3 linked regions of the Drosophila melanogaster genome follow. The gene in region 3 interacts genetically with the main gene of each other region. Each region holds a gene or a part of one and is shown on either strand. Other genes may lie near its edges.

Region 1 (4,925 bases), on a different chromosome or scaffold from region 3:
ACGGAAAATCCAATTATTTAATATCCGTTAATCGAACAATCAAAGCAAAATTTATATAATACAATTTCTTTTCTAAAACCCCATTTAACATTAAGCACGTTGCACATCTTTTATTATTTTAAATACCCGATTTCCAGATATGATCAGCCCGGAAAAATAGTGAACTAAATATGCAGAGCAGTAAAAGTCAGGCTAACATAGAAGTTATTTTTCAAAATTTGAATAACGCGCCAATAAAAATCCCGCAACGCGATCGGCCGTAGTGGCAACGCCGCTGCCACTAAACTCCGACTCTCTCTTTGCGCCGTGTGGCCAGATGATTATGGCCTTTTTTTTTGCTCTTTCATCGCTCTCTCGATTTCGATCTCGTCACAGTGCCACTTGCGATCATTGTGTTACTTTGGAGTCGCTGAAAAATCGCGGGGATCGCATCGAATTGGCCTTGACTGCCGTGGGGTTGAGCTAGCCGTGAAAAAGACCGCAGAACCACGATAAATCTGTCGAAAAAGGTGACAAAAAGGAGGCTATACTGTCTTGCTGGCTGGCGTGCGTGTGTATGTGTGCGGCGGTGTGTGCAATTTTTTTCATCACCATTCCAGTCCGCGTGTGTTTTTCAGTGTGCAATCCCGCTGAGAATTTGCCCGAATCCTGCCCAACAGCAGGTGAGTGATGCCGGCCAATTGGCCCATTCGATTTGCAGCAGGTGCAGGGTTCAAAAGTTCGTGAACTTGCTTTTTAAGCCATTTCCTTTAGACCCCGTTTTCTCCATCGATATTGTAGCAGTCGAAAAGTAATGGAAAAAAAACGTGAGCAGCGACGTCGACGTTTTTGCCTCTTTCTCTCTCTGTTCCCCTGCCCCTCTCGCGCTCTCTTCCGCGCCTTCTCTTTGCGCGCGCAGCTGTCATCGCTGTCAGCAGCGCGCGCCGACGTCGGGTTCCCGCGCGCGGGAAATCATCAAGTTCAATCGATTCTAATTTGGCCGAATTGAACGGGATTTTCGATTTTAGTGAAAAATCAGATTCTGCGAGTTTTGATCTTTCAATTGGTTATAGGCACGCATGGTTTTTCATTTAGCTTACCTGATTTATAAGCGCTCGAAGTTGGTGCCAAAAATGCTCGAATGTTAATCGATGAAAACAACAAAGTGGCAGTGGTTTGTTTGGTTTCAAAGCAGCGTTACCACCTAGTTCGACCTCAGTCATCTTGTCATATGTTATTTGGCTGCAGTTCATAAAAACTACTAGAAAAGCATATTAAACCATGTAATTTCAGGCTTCTGAAGAATAAATAAATAATTAAAATTTTAAAGATTTATGAATACCCTTCAAGATAAATTTATTTTAACCTTGAATTGATTTTGGAGCGCTTTAAAAATATATTAAAAAAAATAGTTTCATATTAAAATTTAAATATTTATTTTCTGAAGGTCATATTTGAATTAAAATTGGCATATGACATAGAAATAAATCTTAGGTATTTATATATAACCACGATATATCCGACTAAATCCGCCCTTCTGGCATCCTCGTCAGCTGTTTTTCGACCACCCAGCTGACTGGACGTCGAACCTCCAATTGTAGTCTGACTAGCCTGTTGGGGACTGGGGACTCCAATTGCAGACTCCATTCAATAAAATGCCAAGCTTGCCACCAGCGGCTTCATCGCCCCGTCTCGCTTTCTCACGCTCTGTTCTTTGCGCTGGAGATGCTCGCCCCATCTCCGTCCCTCCCCTAGAGTACAACAAAGTTGCCCCCTGTGTTTGTTGCATTTTTTGGCGCTTCGGATCCGCCTGTTTTGGCGCGTTCCTCATGCACACTCGCCGCAGTCGACGTCGCTGCTTTTGATACCCAGTTCCACCAATTTTTTTTTCGGTTCCAAAGCGATCACTTTGCTGCCGCCGCTCCGCTGCTCGTGAAGTTTTTTCGTGGCCGGCGACGACGACGACGAAAAACTCTCGAAAAACGTTGTTCAATTCCCTTTAAGAAAAACAAGTGAAAACACCGGGGATATTATGTTAAGCATTTTTCCGCTTACTAGAAGGTAAAACCAATTGCACAATGGTTTTAGTGGATAAAAGGCAATACGTTATTCAGAGTGGAATAAAATTTATGACGCGTGTGCGGTGACAAGTGTGTGTGGAACAGTGAAGGAAAGAGCGGGAGAGAATGCTGCGTTTGCCGTCGTGTCTTTGCATTTTTTGCTACAAATACAACATCCTCTTATAAGAAAATTGACACGCTGTAGGATTTAACCGTTGCTTTCTGATTGGCAAGAGACGGGGTGTCCAACTACAAATTGTCTCCCCCACACAGTGTTTTAGTGTTCCCCCTATAAGGAAAAGTGTCCTATTAGAATTAAACCGTTATCCAATGGGAACAAATTGGAAAATCCTATGAAATAAATGAAAGCTTCTAATCACGTCTAAAAGTGCACTGAGTTTCTAATGCGTAACGGGAGTTCAGTGAACTATTACAGCTTTTCTTACTATAGAAGGCTTGAGATGCAGCTTATGGTTTACCCTGCTGTTTGGGCCAACTTTCTAATCTTTCTCCCGCCCGAATTGCACTTTTTCCCGCCATTCGCATAGATTTTGGGCGGTAAAACAAAACTGCCCCAGCCCAAACGCCTAATTCGCGCCACTTTGCGTTTCTCCATTCTTTTCCCATGCTCATTTCATTTTTATACGCTTCCTCCAATGACACACACACAAGCACAAACTTGGAAGAAATGCGCTCGCTAAGAGAGAGAGTAAGCTCTCTTTCTCTCGCTCTCTTCCGTTTTATTCCAATCAGAACAGCGAGTCAAGTTATTTTCCCCTTCCCAACACCAACAACAAACAAAAACGTTTTAGTACTGCGCTCTAAAACGGAAAAAAAGAGAGCATTTGACTGCGACGTCGAAAAAATTCGGAAAATCGCCGATCAGTCGACGGACCTTTCGAAAACTTGACGAACACGAAGCAGAGGTTCAAAGCAAAATGGAGTAAACGAGTGAAGAACAAAATAATGAATTATGTCAAAAGTGGCGCAAATATCTTTGGTACACGAAGAAAAAGATTGGTAGTGGCATTTAGCCCTTACCCACAATCTACGTACATACATATGTATGTATGTTTACATATGTAGAATTAATAATAGTATTTTAATTATTGTAAAATCGTGGTTATATTTATTTTTGTGAGTAGTTACTCTATGTACGTGCTCCCAACCAATGAGTGAGCGAGATAGACTGCCAAGTGGAGAATGGAGTTCATTGATATTTCTCGGCGTTTTGCTTTCGCTTCCCCTTCGTCTCCACCTTGCTTCGCGCCATCTTCGTTCTTTCCTCTTCTCCTCTGCTTCCATTTACCTGCCACATTCATTTTGTTGTTGTTTTCTTCGCAATTTTTGCTTTCTTCTTTATTTTTTGCATTCTTTTGACGTTTTTTAGTTTGCGTGTTCGCTTTTTGCGCCGTTAAACTTTTGGAGCGATCGCGGCGGGGGTGTGCGTGGGGGGTGGGTGGTGTATTGTTGATGGGGTGGATTTTTGTATACTTAATTTTTCGATTATGTCATGATCGTGCCGAAAATCAGCCGCTTATGTTTAGATTTGGCCAGTTTAAACCATGGGGAAATAAATTGTTTTTCTTAGAAGTGATTTTGAAAAAAGTAAGAGCATCAAGTTTTTGATGATTCAGTGTCGTGAATTTTGTATATTTTCCCAACATTTTCTTTTGTTTGACCCACCTAAACACTCCTTATATGATCTATTCAAATCCTAGTCAACACCTTTCAATTCTGCTCATGATCCTCCAAGTGCTTGCCACCTTCGAAAGCGGTATGTCATCAAAGGATTTTCTAGACGAGATGGGAACCCAAACTGATCTCGAATATTTTCTCATCATATGTACATACATACGTAAATGGTTATAGGAATCCACACATATCAACTGGCCATATTAACCCGAATTCCTAGTAAAATACCAACAATATTTCTCAATTACAAGTGCGGAATGTTTTACAAATATTACATGTTCTCCAAAAGGATGAGTTGTGAATAGTAACTCCTTAAATAAATGGTTCATATGTACATATGTATGTATATGTGGGCATTTTTTTTTTATAGTCCATACACATTTTTGTCGCTGCGGCAGAAGAATCCGATTCGGAATCGGAATGAGGTGAAGCCGTATGTATGAGGAGCAGAAACAACAATGATAAACAGTTTCCAGTTATTCCCAGACAAACAAAGGATAGTCCGTCCGACTGGCGATTTGTGGAGCGGGGAAGAGACAGGACGCAGGCCACTTGAGCTAGCTGACTCGCTGTGGGCATCCTTTTAGACGCTGCTAAATATAAACTAAATAGTCAATTGAGCGCGTCCCGATGTCCTAACGGCTACTTCAAGGCCATCGATTCTTGGAACTGGAACGCCGCCGTCGCCATCGCCGCCGCTGCCGCTCCATTCAAGAACTTTGATTTGTTCTCCTCCATCGGCTGGGCCGACTTTACTTTCACACGCCGTTTTGCCCAGGCGGCGCTCTTTAGATACCCGGCACACAGATACTCAGATACTCGGACTCACAGATACACTGATGCGCGCAGGCGAGGATCGACTTTCCTGTTCTCGTTTGCAGTACCCTGTAGTTCTGGGTAGGGTGGGCATATGCGACTGAAGCAACACAGCAAACTTGGGCCAATTGACCATTAGAATTTAAACGCATTCATGAGTATGAAAAGGAAGCATCAAAGATCGGGTTCAATTCAATGATGCTTATAAAGCAATCTTCGTGTATTGGTTTAAACTTTTAGTAGTATTATTTATAGTTTCATATTATGCAAATATGATTAGGCTTTCGATTTGAGAAAATATCTTCCTAATGAACTTCACCCTCTTACCCTATCAGCATTATGTAGCTATGTTGTTACACAACTCCTGCAGACTTT
Region 2 (6,254 bases), on a different chromosome or scaffold from region 3:
CAATCAAGTGAATACCTTGAGTGCCATCCAATGCCCGCACGTTCCACGACAATCCTTTAGGATCTGCCCTCATAAGCGGGACACTTGAGAACCGCTTTTCCACCTCTTTTCTCAGCCTTTTTTTTTTTTGTTTTTCCGCGTGTGTTGACACAACCCATATAAAGCCAGGATATCCTGCTCGGGAGGAAATTACTTAAAGGGATCACGAACTCTTCCCCTTTCGAAAAACTCCTTCTTGAGTTGTTTATGTTTTCAGGCATGACTGCCGCCGAACGCCAGTAGAATTCTCAAATTTGTTATAAAGTGTGTAAATTCACGTTGCTTTTCTTTTTGAGGGAGGGTGTGTCCCATAAACAGAAAACCGAACCACAAGGGATCGGATCTTATGGGAGTGGAAAGGAACGAATTATGGATGGATGATGATGCTGCCTAATCGAACGTTCGTCAAACGATCTCTGCCTTTTTTGGGGTGATTGCACTCCGTTTTTTCTTGTTTTTTTTTTTCTCGGGTTTTTGTGTGGAAAGCCGATGGGTTTTCCCATTATTTCGTCGAGTGCAAAGGACAAAGCAAATGATGTCTTTAGTCTACGAATCTGACTTCCAAGGCTTTGTCCCAATTCTTTCCTTCTTATTTAATTGGATTTGTTCAAACAATATAAATCTCGTTTTATTGCCTTTGGTAGTGTAATTTAATTTTTTACGATTTTGCACACGAAAGGAAAAAAACTTTATGAAAATGCAGCACGAAATGAGCAGAAAACTTGCGTTTCACAAAGTGAACCATAACGGAAATTTGAAATACCCAGTGCTATGCAAACACCACAAGGAAATTCGAACTAGACGTGCACATTATTTTACATACATACATACATACATCGTACAAATGTATATTTGGTGGACCAGTGCCCCACAATGCAAGCGCGATTTTCCCCTTGGCAACACGAGGAAAGTGAAAAGAATTGGTGCCCCAAATGCCCCCTGCCACTTCCCTCCGACGACTAAAAATCCAGTTTGAGGCCAAACAAACCAAAACCATAACATCGTTTTTTCGTATCTTCCCATCGCAATCGCAACTAAAAGTACAGCTCCACCGATGCAACAACAACCAAGAAGGCAGCGAACAGAACACACGGATGGAAATGGCAGGGATGGGTAGATGGCGTGCGAGAGAGTGGGAGACATATGGTGAGAGAGAGAGAGGTTGTGGAAGTTGTGACGACTTTCTTGATACGCTCTATGAAGGAACCTTGGACAGTTTAAAATATAATTAAATTGGTTATTTCAAAAACATTAAAAATAAAATCTGGTTGAATACTGTTTACAAATGAACTATGGGCTTATGAGCTGTGAATATTATTTGACAGGAAATAATGAAAATAATGATAATAATAATAATAATAATAATAATGAATACGTATTATATATTGTACTATATGATGATTCCAACAATCAATAATTATATTAAAGCTCATAATATCAAAACTTTTAAACTCAGATGCCTTAGTTAAATTTTGTTAGGAAACTTTTATTTTTCTGAGTATTTTTTATACGTTTGCTATATAAGTTTAAAGAACAATTCAAAGGAAGTGCATTGCTCTTTCGATATGATTAACATTAAAAGCGCATTCTTTTTCCCTATCTCTTTCGCTCCTGCTGCTTTTCCGATCTTTTCGAATTCGAGGGTTGCTACAGAGAGAGCGTGAACCGCTCTGAATTTCCAGTTGGCAACGCCTCTGGTGGTTGTTTGACGTTTGCTTTTGCCCAGTGTTTTATTTATCTTTTATTCGTTTCTCCGAGTTCGTCGAGAGAGGTTCGCTTCGATCGGTAGCGCTATATTTAAAAATCTAGTGCGCAGTGCGCTCATAGCCGAAAAGGTTAACAAACATCGCTGTAAAAACGACTTCAAGTTGTAAAGACAAATATAATACAAAGGTGCTGCCATTGGCAGCTAACTCATACAAAAACTCCAACGAGACCCGCAAACGTTTCGTTTTGTGAGTCGACTAGCAGTGCAGTGTGTTCGAATCGCCATTCAAAGATAGTGACCAAGTGCTATTGGACCAAGGCATTTGTTTATAATTATTTTTATAAACAATTGCAGCGTGAAATTTCACTTTTGAACGCAGCAAGACGTAAAATAAGCTGCAGCACAACGCACACACAGAACACTCGCTCTCCCTCTCACATACACACACGCTCGCGTGTGGAGACCGTGATTTGTATTCGTGTGGAGACTGCCTCTCTCTCTTTTGGGGCTGTCTGAACACAAAGTTTTGGCGCCAAAAGTTTGACAGTTCGCTTTGGCGTGTAATTCGCAAACAAGTGGCAAGAAAAGTGCGTCTCAAAACAGAGTAGAAAACACTAGGGGATCCCAAAAAAATATATATTGACTCAACATGGTCAGTGCCCGAGTCCTGAATCCTGTGATGATCAGTGAGTTCTGCAAGATGAGCAGCAGCCCGGCGGTGAGTCGCAATCTGGCATGCGGTCGTCAGTTGAATCGCATAAAGCGTGACCTCTTCGGTAGCTCCAAATCCGCCGAGGGTACAGCCAACAAAACGTGAGTTTCTATAATAACAGTTGGATTTTGACCAATAGCTAACAATATATCCTCTTTAGACCCTTTAATTCCGAACTGGAGCGCCATCAAGAACTGGCCACGCAAAAATGGGGCTTTGACTTCCGCGCCGGCTGCCCTTTAGCTGAAAAATCACCCTACATTTGGGAGCGCGTCAGCTTCCAGGAGTCGAGCTTCGCCCCAGAGATGTACACCCTAACACGGGCCGCCCACGTACGCCCTTCCGCGGATGCAAGTCCTAGCGACATGGACATTTTGGTCAACGAGCGCTCAGAACGGGAGAACTTTGGCTCCAATCTGGTCAATTCCTCGCTAGAGTCGAACACGGATAATGAATCTTGTTACGACTCCCAGGACGAGTCGCTGGCAATGCGGCTTAGCTCCTCCAGCACGACAAGCACATCCTCCATAGTCCTGCGCAAGAGACAGCCAAAAATCACAGGTGAGTTTTGGGGGATGTTCTACACCATTTTGATCAGTAGAGCTTGACGGTTCCCAGGGTCAGGCTTCATTTCACTTCGATAGACGTTACAAAGTGTTTTCCCATAGCTTTCCTTTTATTCCCTGTTTATTTTCGGTTCTCAGGAGGAAGTTGAGGGTGTTTTTTTTTTTTTTTTAACTTATCAGGCTTGTTTTGTAATCGGACTGATACGATATTATTTTTCAAAATTATCTGTAGAGTAGAGAGTATTATCTAAAAATTTCCGAATATAGTGCTCGAGATATAAAAGTAGATTCGTGCTCTTTGTTTTGCAAACTCGATGAAAACGATTTTCATCAATGATTTTATGCCAAACCAATATTTTGTGCAGGATTTTGTACTTACAATACTAAACTCCATAAGGGGTTGTTTGATTGGTTTTAAGTCCACTCCTTCGCATTTATTGTTTATATTCACGTTTTAGTTGTGGGCGTTTTTCGTGAAACTTAGACCCAAATTATAGCAATTAGCCAATGCTTTGTGGGAGATTTATTTTCGTCCAGAAGGGTAAGTCAAAGCTGACTGCAGCTGTTTCAGCTCCTCATCTCCCTAAACCGAATGATTCTCTTCTGATCCTCCACAACGCGGGGGTTGGTTTCCAGATCGATAGCATGCGGGCTGGCTGGCTGCATCTATAAATGCCAACAGCTGTGACTCCGCTTTGTCTATGGCCTGACCTCATTATAGAAAACGGGAGAGGGGTCTGGGGATCGGCTTTCAATGCACCACCATCCAGAGTCCATGGTCTTATCAAACCTCCCTTTGATTGCTTTGTACTGAGCGTTTTTTATAAATGCCACTAGCACATGCATGTGTAATTATAATCATAAAAAAATTGTGTCTGTTCGGAACATAATAAATGCACCCGCATCGGGTGGTCAGTAGGGAAGCCTTTGAATCCCCCAACGCCTCAACTCGCTTTACTTAAAGTGCACTTTTTGCTGCTTTGGCCAGTAAGCTAGAGCTCATAATTTATGCAGTTATGTAGCACCACCACTCTTGCTTTCACCGGACTACCTGAAAACCGGCTAAAGACCGACTGTCTGGCTGCCGTCTGGCATTTATTTGCTACCCCTGTGCGGATCTGCAACCCTCTGGTAGGGAAGTGCTGCCGTCCACGTGCCACAATCTGGGAATCTACCCGAAACCGAAATCAAAATGTGCAAAAACAGAAAAACAGGCGGCGCCTGCTGTTTAGGGATCAGTGACTTGTGAACAGGGGCAACCGGAAATGCAGCAGCTGACTTTGATTTGGCAATTCCACCTAACACGTATTAATAACACTCGTTTTCCTTCCTTTGTTTACAGAATTCATGAAGGAGCGCAAACGTCTGGCCCAGGCACCCAAGAAACTATCGCCCGCAAAGCGCATGCGCACCAGTTCTCCCAGTTCGTCCGCCACTTCCAGCTCCAGCTCCAGCGGTGGATTTGGGTTGGGGGCACACTTTGGGGCGATGTTGAAGCGGCCGCGCCACAACTAATGCTCCAGATTCGCTGGCCAACCCACCGAATTGCAATTTGTAATTTTATTTTTTACAAGCCACTGCGATTGTGTAGTATTTCCTAATTTTTTATTACGAACCTTTTTATGCAGTGCAAGGGCGACAGTTGCGAATATTAATCGTTAGTCTTCAACTACTCGTAACCAGTAATTAGTTGTAAGTCAACCAGTAAGCTCGAGCTAAATGAAACTTTTTAGATTTCTCTAGTGAGAAATGCCATAAACTAAGTGATTAGTTCTTAACAACAAACAACTATTGAACAAGAAGAGAGAGACCGCAAGCTAAATGGAATTAGTCTTAACTATCTTGAAGCCAACCGAAATTTAACCTTTATAACGATGGAATACTAACTTTACATAACTTTGTGAAATCCTTGCAAATTTCGCCGGCAACTTTTGCATTTGAAATTTGCCGGGTGAACAAAACTCATCCTTTCTCTGCCCTGCCACTTCATCCAAGTACTGAAACTGAGGGGAGAGTAGAATTGAGTTTTGTCTTGCATATTAAGGGCGCCAAAACGATGCCCCAATAAGCCGCATTTCGGCTCATTGCTGCTTTGTTTTTGCGACCTACTAACATTGTAACCAATTCGACCAGTGGAAAACAAAAAAAAAAAAGAGGAATGCCTTTGAATTAACTTCGTCAATTTCTGCACGTTTGGATGCCTTATTTATATGAATGCCGCCGAATGGACACAAATTGTCGCGCTCTCATTTCTTAACCAGTGCTAAAAATGTCTTTTATGATTTGCTATGATCTCTGGGCAAATTATGAAAACAATTTTGCCTGAAACTATCATGTACAAAAACTAGATTATTATACATACTATACACATAGGCAGAGCCTATTCTTCATAACACTTATACAAAGCATTAATTTGTAAGGCCTAACTAAGAACAAATCCAAAGTATTCTCCTAATATTTATATGTATAGACACTCTATGTATAATTAAACCATATTCAACTCATACATCAATAAACAAAACAAAAACAACGCGATTGTCCTGTTTCAAAATTACCAACACATCCGCATTACTTTGGTTGTAGACGTAGCAGTAAAATGTAGTTTACTAAAACAATTTTGTACATTTTATAAGTTAATATTTGTTTTTCTGCAATAAATTGTTTTTGATTTTCTAGTTGGTAGTACATAAATCGCGTTTTTAATTTTTAATTTCATTTTTATAAAATATCGTGGGATGCCAACAAAATTCAATCCCGCGTCAATAGAAACGAATCATTGCTTCAGTTTTATTCAATAAATTAATTTGATTTATTGCTTACATCAAGTACATAAATATTAATTTGTTCCATTCGACGCTTTGTAGATTTACCTATGTGCCAATTAGTTGATCTGTACTCTACATACAAATATATATATCGCATATATACAGAGGGCTGTGGATATGGGCACCTACTTGCCCGCCGCCTTCTCCTCCAGCTGGGCTTGAATGTGGCGTACGTTGTGGCCGCCGCCATTGGGGTTGTGGCGCTGGAAGAAGGCGTTGATGGAGCTCATGGAGCGGTACTCCAGATTGTCGCTGACCCGCCAGTCCACGCTGATGCTCTGGTGACGACCCACCGGATTGCGGATGCGGGTCTCGTTGTATTTCTCCAACAAATGCAGCAGGCAATCCTTGGTGGTGTTGGCCGCCTCCTCCAGATTCACGGTTTGATGAGTGTCCGGCAGCCC
Region 3 (7,952 bases):
TCTTGAAGTTAACGTTTTGTTTGTTTAAGTTTTTACTCTCACTTTTCTTGAATAAACCAGTTGAATACAATCCAGACTATCCGATATAGCAGTTTCCTGTAAGGTCACATTGATTTACGCAATTTAAGTTAGTAAAATGTAATACAAATCTCACCTCAAAGAAAACACGGTCAAAAGGTGGCTCACTTTTGGTCCAGTCCGCTAGATTCTATAGGTTATCAATGCAATAGGTGATTTATTAATATGATAAGAATTCGAAGTACTCACATTAGATGCGGTCGGTATAAGCTGGCTGCGGCAATTCTGAAGATCTTCTATAGAATCATCACCCATATGCCCATAGAACTGCAACTCCTCCGGAGAACCTCCGGCTGTGATGAGAGTATATATTTTGGTATCCATTGCTCCAACGGCCAGCAGTTGGTTGGCTTGCTGCCTGGAATTGTGATTATAAATAATTAGGTGTTTGCAGCGAAGAGCTCGAAGCGCCGACAAGTCACTGGTCAAAATCAAGCCAATCATTGGTTCTCCATCGGCAAGAGAATTAAATAAGTTCACTTTTTGGGGACCATCTAGCTGCGCATGGTCCAAACTATAACTCTGACAGTATCCCCTGACCAGGGTGAGGCAATCCTCACTGTTTGCCAAGATGCAGCACTTCTCGCCTCGCTCCGCCACTAAGTGATCCAGCATTACGTGTAGAAACTCGAACTTGGCGGAGTCGTAAAGTCCCATGCTTGGCCAAGGCGGCAGTATGGCGTCCAGTACCTCCATTATTTCCTTAAACACTGGATTCGTACCCAAAGTTTTTAGGAGCACAGGATGATCACATACAATTTGGAAGATTTCCTTCAACGTAGACGATTCCTGAAATACAAGTTTTTTGATTTGTTTATGCATGTAAATTGGTCTAAATCTATCTTACTGTTTTAGATGTTTGTGCATATTCAGAAACAAAGAGTAATATTTTTTTCTGCAGTTCAGCTGGAGTTAATAGACACAGATATTCCGATTGGGTGAACTCCTTGGTAGGGTTTTCTATCTTCAAAGTGTTTTGTTCATAGATTTTCTTTCCCATCGAAGTGCTGGAATCGGCGGCTGCATAGGAGACATGTTTATCTTCTCTATGTTGGCTAATTTCCAAATGCGGTGGAGCAAAGGCATCTGCCTCGCGCTTGATCTTCTTGAGCAGATGAGACCTAACGGGTGCACTGTCAGCAGGTGGTGGCGATGTGTCTGTACAACCATTCTGGGCATCTATTTTTTGGCACCAGTTGGCTATTTCCAACTGGCGCTGAATAAGGCACTCCTCGACGGTTTTAATCTCCTCCTGAATCTCGACATCCTTGCTGCCTACTTCCAGCTGATCGTTCTCCTGAAGTTGCCGCTGCTTAAAGTATGTCATGGTGTCCACAACCTTGCCGGTGTCATCCTTCAATGTTACTATGGATCCCGTGACCACCAGCGTTCCGTTGCCAGTCCACGTTTTGTGCTTTTTGGTGGTCTGATTACGCCAGAGCACATGGAAGATGCGGCTATCTTTGAGGGGATTCTCGCCCGCCCTGAATTCTCGAGGTCCCAGGCTTTGGGTGCCCCCTGAGGTGCCCCATTCGCTGGGTAGATTGTTTTTGGGCCAGGAGCAGGGTGACTGTGGTTCCTCTTTGGGAGGCGCCGCTTCGCTCTCTCGCTTTGCAGCGCGGCGCATGGAAGGAGCTTTGGAACGCCGCTTTATGGTGCTAAAGAAGAGGATTACCGGGTATAGTTCACCGTAAATACATAAGTTAATTTAAAAACTTTTGCTATCAACAAAATATAAATATACAAGGCGCAATCTATTTTCAAGCCACTTGTAAGTGTGGCCAATGAAGTGAACCTCGAAAGGTATTCCGAACCCTGGTCACACTGGCATTCTGCTGGTAGCCGGCTCTGGATGATTTTCTGATAGAAATCTCGCAGAGGCAGTGGTGTTTTTGTGAATCCCCTCAGCCACGATGGCGTTCCACTGGTGCGACAACAATCTGCACACCACCGTGTTCACGCCGCGCGACTTTCAGGTGGAGCTACTGGCCACCGCCTACGAGCGGAACACGATTATTTGCCTGGGCCATCGAAGTTCCAAGGAGTTTATAGCCCTCAAGCTGCTCCAGGAGCTGTCGCGTCGAGCACGCCGACATGGTCGTGTCAGTGTCTATCTCAGTTGCGAGGTTGGCACCAGCACGGAACCATGCTCCATCTACACGATGCTCACCCACTTGACTGACCTGCGGGTGTGGCAGGAGCAGCCGGATATGCAAATTCCCTTTGATCATTGCTGGACGGACTATCACGTTTCCATCCTACGGCCAGAGGGATTTCTTTATCTGCTCGAAACTCGCGAGCTGCTGCTGAGCAGCGTCGAACTGATCGTGCTGGAAGATTGTCATGACAGCGCCGTTTATCAGAGGATAAGGCCTCTGTTCGAGAATCACATTATGCCAGCGCCACCGGCGGACAGGCCACGGATTCTCGGACTCGCTGGACCGCTGCACAGCGCCGGATGTGAGCTGCAGCAACTGAGCGCCATGCTGGCCACCCTGGAGCAGAGTGTGCTTTGCCAGATCGAGACGGCCAGTGATATTGTCACCGTGTTGCGTTACTGTTCCCGACCGCACGAATACATCGTACAGTGCGCCCCCTTCGAGATGGACGAACTGTCCCTGGTGCTTGCCGATGTGCTCAACACACACAAGTCCTTTTTATTGGACCACCGCTACGATCCCTACGAAATCTACGGCACAGACCAGTTTATGGACGAACTGAAAGACATACCCGATCCCAAGGTGGACCCCCTGAACGTCATCAACTCACTACTGGTCGTGCTGCACGAGATGGGTCCTTGGTGCACGCAGCGGGCTGCACATCACTTTTACCAATGCAATGAGAAGTTAAAGGTGAAGACGCCGCACGAACGTCACTACTTGCTGTACTGCCTAGTGAGCACGGCCCTTATCCAACTGTACTCCCTCTGCGAACACGCATTCCATCGACATTTAGGAAGTGGCAGCGATTCACGCCAGACCATCGAACGCTATTCCAGCCCCAAGGTGCGACGTCTGTTGCAGACACTGAGGTGCTTCAAGCCGGAAGAGGTGCACACCCAAGCGGACGGACTGCGCAGAATGCGGCATCAGGTGGATCAGGCGGACTTCAATCGGTTATCTCATACGCTGGAAAGCAAGTGCCGAATGGTGGATCAAATGGACCAACCGCCGACGGAGACACGAGCCCTGGTGGCCACTCTTGAGCAGATTCTGCACACGACAGAGGACAGGCAGACGAACAGAAGCGCCGCTCGGGTGACTCCTACTCCTACTCCCGCTCATGCGAAGCCGAAACCTAGCTCTGGTGCCAACACTGCACAACCACGAACTCGTAGACGTGTGTACACCAGGCGCCACCACCGGGATCACAATGATGGCAGCGACACGCTCTGCGCACTGATTTACTGCAACCAGAACCACACGGCTCGCGTGCTCTTTGAGCTTCTAGCGGAGATTAGCAGACGTGATCCCGATCTCAAGTTCCTACGCTGCCAGTACACCACGGACCGGGTGGCAGATCCCACCACGGAGCCCAAAGAGGCTGAGTTGGAGCACCGGCGGCAGGAAGAGGTGCTAAAGCGCTTCCGCATGCATGACTGCAATGTCCTGATCGGTACTTCGGTGCTGGAAGAGGGCATCGATGTGCCCAAGTGCAATTTGGTTGTGCGCTGGGATCCGCCAACCACATATCGCAGTTACGTTCAGTGCAAAGGTCGAGCCCGTGCTGCTCCAGCCTATCATGTCATTCTCGTCGCTCCGAGTTATAAAAGCCCAACTGTGGGGTCAGTGCAGCTGACCGATCGGAGTCATCGGTATATTTGCGCGACTGGTGATACTACAGAGGCGGACAGCGACTCTGATGATTCAGCGATGCCAAACTCGTCCGGCTCGGATCCCTATACTTTTGGCACGGCACGCGGAACCGTGAAGATCCTCAACCCCGAAGTGTTCAGTAAACAACCACCGACAGCGTGCGACATTAAGCTGCAGGAGATCCAGGACGAATTGCCAGCCGCAGCGCAGCTGGATACGAGCAACTCCAGCGACGAAGCCGTCAGCATGAGTAACACGTCTCCAAGCGAGAGCAGTACAGAACAAAAATCCAGACGCTTCCAGTGCGAGCTGAGCTCTTTAACGGAGCCAGAAGACACAAGTGATACTACAGCCGAAATCGATACTGCTCATAGTTTAGCCAGCACCACGAAGGACTTGGTGCATCAAATGGCACAGTATCGCGAAATCGAGCAGATGCTGCTATCCAAGTGCGCCAACACAGAGCCGCCGGAGCAGGAGCAGAGTGAGGCGGAACGTTTTAGTGCCTGCCTGGCCGCATACCGACCCAAGCCGCACCTGCTAACAGGCGCCTCCGTGGATCTGGGTTCTGCTATAGCTTTGGTCAACAAGTACTGCGCCCGACTGCCAAGCGACACGTTCACCAAGTTGACGGCGTTGTGGCGCTGCACCCGAAACGAAAGGGCTGGAGTGACCCTGTTTCAGTACACACTCCGTCTGCCCATCAACTCGCCATTGAAGCATGACATTGTGGTAAGTACTTGTAATACGAATTATTTAAGATTTGTTAAATACTCTTCTTTAGGGTCTTCCGATGCCAACTCAAACATTGGCCCGCCGACTGGCTGCCTTGCAGGCTTGCGTGGAACTGCACAGGATCGGTGAGTTAGACGATCAGTTGCAGCCTATCGGCAAGGAGGGATTTCGTGCCCTGGAGCCGGACTGGGAGTGCTTTGAACTGGAGCCAGAGGACGAACAGATTGTGCAGCTAAGCGATGAACCACGTCCGGGAACAACGAAGCGTCGTCAGTACTATTACAAACGCATTGCATCCGAATTTTGCGATTGCCGTCCCGTTGCCGGAGCGCCATGCTATTTGTACTTTATCCAACTGACGCTCCAATGTCCGATTCCCGAAGAGCAAAACACGCGGGGACGCAAGATTTATCCGCCCGAAGATGCGCAGCAGGGATTCGGCATTCTAACCACCAAACGGATACCCAAGCTGAGTGCTTTCTCGATATTCACGCGTTCCGGTGAGGTGAAGGTTTCCCTGGAGTTAGCTAAGGAACGCGTGATTCTAACTAGCGAACAAATAGTCTGCATCAACGGATTTTTAAACTACACGTTCACCAATGTACTGCGTTTGCAAAAGTTTCTGATGCTCTTCGATCCGGACTCCACGGAAAATTGTGTATTCATTGTGCCCACCGTGAAGGCACCAGCTGGCGGCAAGCACATCGACTGGCAGTTTCTGGAGCTGATCCAAGCGAATGGAAATACAATGCCACGGGCAGTGCCCGATGAGGAGCGCCAGGCGCAGCCGTTTGATCCGCAACGCTTCCAGGATGCCGTCGTTATGCCGTGGTATCGCAACCAGGATCAACCGCAGTATTTCTATGTGGCGGAGATATGTCCACATCTATCCCCACTCAGCTGCTTCCCTGGTGACAACTACCGCACGTTCAAGCACTACTACCTCGTCAAGTATGGTCTGACCATACAGAATACCTCGCAGCCGCTATTGGACGTGGATCACACCAGTGCGCGGTTAAACTTCCTCACGCCACGATACGTTAATCGCAAGGGCGTTGCTCTGCCCACTAGTTCGGAGGAGACAAAGCGGGCAAAGCGCGAGAATCTCGAACAGAAGCAGATCCTTGTGCCAGAGCTCTGCACTGTGCATCCATTCCCCGCCTCCTTGTGGCGAACTGCCGTGTGCCTGCCCTGCATCCTGTACCGCATAAATGGTCTTCTATTGGCCGACGATATTCGGAAACAGGTTTCTGCGGATCTGGGGCTGGGAAGGCAACAGATCGAAGATGAGGATTTCGAGTGGCCCATGCTGGACTTTGGGTGGAGTCTATCGGAGGTGCTCAAGAAATCGCGGGAGTCCAAACAAAAGGAGTCCCTTAAGGATGATACTATTAATGGCAAAGACTTAGCTGATGTTGAAAAGAAACCGACTAGCGAGGAGACCCAACTAGATAAGGATTCAAAAGACGATAAGGTTGAGAAAAGTGCTATTGAACTAATCATTGAGGGAGAGGAGAAGCTGCAAGAGGCTGATGACTTCATTGAGATAGGCACTTGGTCAAACGATATGGCCGACGATATAGCTAGTTTTAACCAAGAAGACGACGACGAGGATGACGCCTTCCATCTCCCAGTTTTACCGGCAAACGTTAAGTTCTGTAAGTTATTTAAATCCCTTGCTAAGGATCAGAAATAATCCCTAATACATCTTACAGGTGATCAGCAAACGCGCTACGGTTCGCCCACATTTTGGGATGTGAGCAATGGCGAAAGCGGCTTCAAGGGTCCAAAGAGCAGTCAGAATAAGCAGGGTGGCAAGGGCAAAGCAAAGGGTCCGGCAAAGCCCACATTTAACTATTATGACTCGGACAATTCGCTGGGTTCCAGCTACGATGACGACGATAACGCAGGTCCGCTCAATTACATGCATCACAACTACAGTTCGGATGACGACGATGTGGCAGATGATATCGATGCGGGACGCATTGCGTTCACCTCCAAGAATGAAGCGGAGACTATTGAAACCGCACAGGAAGTGGAAAAGCGCCAGAAGCAGCTGTCCATCATCCAGGCGACCAATGCTAACGAGCGGCAGTATCAGCAGACAAAGAACCTGCTCATTGGATTCAATTTTAAGCATGAGGACCAGAAGGAACCTGCCACTATAAGATATGAAGAATCCATAGCTAAGCTCAAAACGGAAATAGAATCCGGCGGCATGTTGGTGCCGCACGACCAGCAGTTGGTTCTAAAAAGAAGTGATGCCGCTGAGGCTCAGGTTGCAAAGGTATCGATGATGGAGCTATTGAAGCAGCTGCTGCCGTATGTAAATGAAGATGTGCTGGCCAAAAAGCTGGGTGATAGGCGCGAGCTTCTGCTGTCGGATTTGGTAGAGCTAAATGCAGATTGGGTAGCGCGACATGAGCAGGAGACCTACAATGTAATGGGATGCGGAGATAGTTTTGACAACTATAACGATCATCATCGGCTGAACTTGGATGAAAAGCAACTGAAACTGCAATACGAACGAATTGAAATTGAGCCACCTACTTCCACGAAGGCCATAACCTCAGCCATATTACCAGCTGGCTTCAGTTTCGATCGACAACCGGATCTAGTGGGCCATCCAGGACCCAGTCCCAGCATCATTTTGCAAGCCCTCACAATGTCCAATGCTAACGATGGCATCAATCTGGAGCGACTGGAGACAATTGGAGATTCCTTTCTAAAGTATGCCATTACCACCTACTTGTACATCACCTACGAGAATGTGCACGAGGGAAAACTAAGTCACCTGCGCTCCAAGCAGGTTGCCAATCTCAATCTCTATCGTCTGGGCAGACGTAAGAGACTGGGTGAATATATGATAGCCACTAAATTCGAGCCGCACGACAATTGGCTGCCACCCTGCTACTACGTGCCAAAGGAGCTAGAGAAGGCGCTCATCGAGGCGAAGATCCCCACTCACCATTGGAAGCTGGCCGATCTGCTAGACATTAAGAACCTAAGCAGTGTGCAAATCTGCGAGATGGTTCGCGAAAAAGCCGATGCCCTGGGCTTGGAGCAGAATGGGGGTGCCCAAAATGGACAACTTGACGACTCCAATGATAGCTGCAATGATTTTAGCTGTTTTATTCCCTACAACCTTGTTTCGCAACACAGCATTCCGGATAAGTCTATTGCCGATTGCGTCGAAGCCCTCATTGGAGCCTATCTCATTGAGTGCGGACCCCGAGGGGCTTTACTCTTTATGGCCTGGCTGGGCGTGAGAGTGCTCCCTATCACAAGGCAGTTGGACGGGGGTAACCAGGAGCAACGAATACC

What was found.
Region 1: of Dcr-1 (region 3) and CycE, changing one suppresses a phenotype caused by changing the other (phenotypic suppression), as found in Drosophila melanogaster (one study listed by BioGRID).
Region 2: of Dcr-1 (region 3) and dap, changing one suppresses a phenotype caused by changing the other (phenotypic suppression), as found in Drosophila melanogaster (2 studies listed by BioGRID).

The regions. Positions count from the first base shown.
Region 1 is NT_033779.5:15,743,570-15,748,494, reverse strand, and holds the start of CycE (cyclin E), read left to right. Parts: upstream 1-1,884; 5' UTR 1,885-2,011; coding exon 2,012-2,040; exon of another isoform or gene 2,041-2,238; intron 2,239-2,851; exon of another isoform or gene 2,852-3,103; intron 3,104-4,925. UniProt on the Drosophila melanogaster protein: Essential for the control of the cell cycle at the G1/S (start) transition. Targeted by archipelago for degradation by the SFC ubiquitin ligase complex.
Region 2 is NT_033778.4:9,710,544-9,716,797, forward strand, and holds dap (dacapo), read left to right. Parts: upstream 1-1,777; 5' UTR 1,778-2,396; coding exon 2,397-2,560; intron 2,561-2,619; coding exon 2,620-3,020; intron 3,021-4,367; coding exon 4,368-4,540; 3' UTR 4,541-5,713; downstream 5,714-6,254. Other genes in the region: sqa (spaghetti-squash activator), read right to left, coding at 5,976-6,254.
Region 3 is NT_033777.3:22,735,070-22,743,021, reverse strand, and holds the start of Dcr-1 (Dicer-1), read left to right. Parts: upstream 1-1,930; 5' UTR 1,931-1,991; coding exon 1,992-4,625; intron 4,626-4,677; coding exon 4,678-6,286; intron 6,287-6,343; coding exon 6,344-7,952. Other genes in the region: CG6985 (uncharacterized protein), read right to left, coding at 25-96, 155-208, 268-867, 926-1,705. UniProt on the Drosophila melanogaster protein: Endoribonuclease which functions in microRNA- (miRNA) gene silencing and, independently of its ribonuclease III activity, also acts in the short interfering RNA- (siRNA) gene silencing pathway.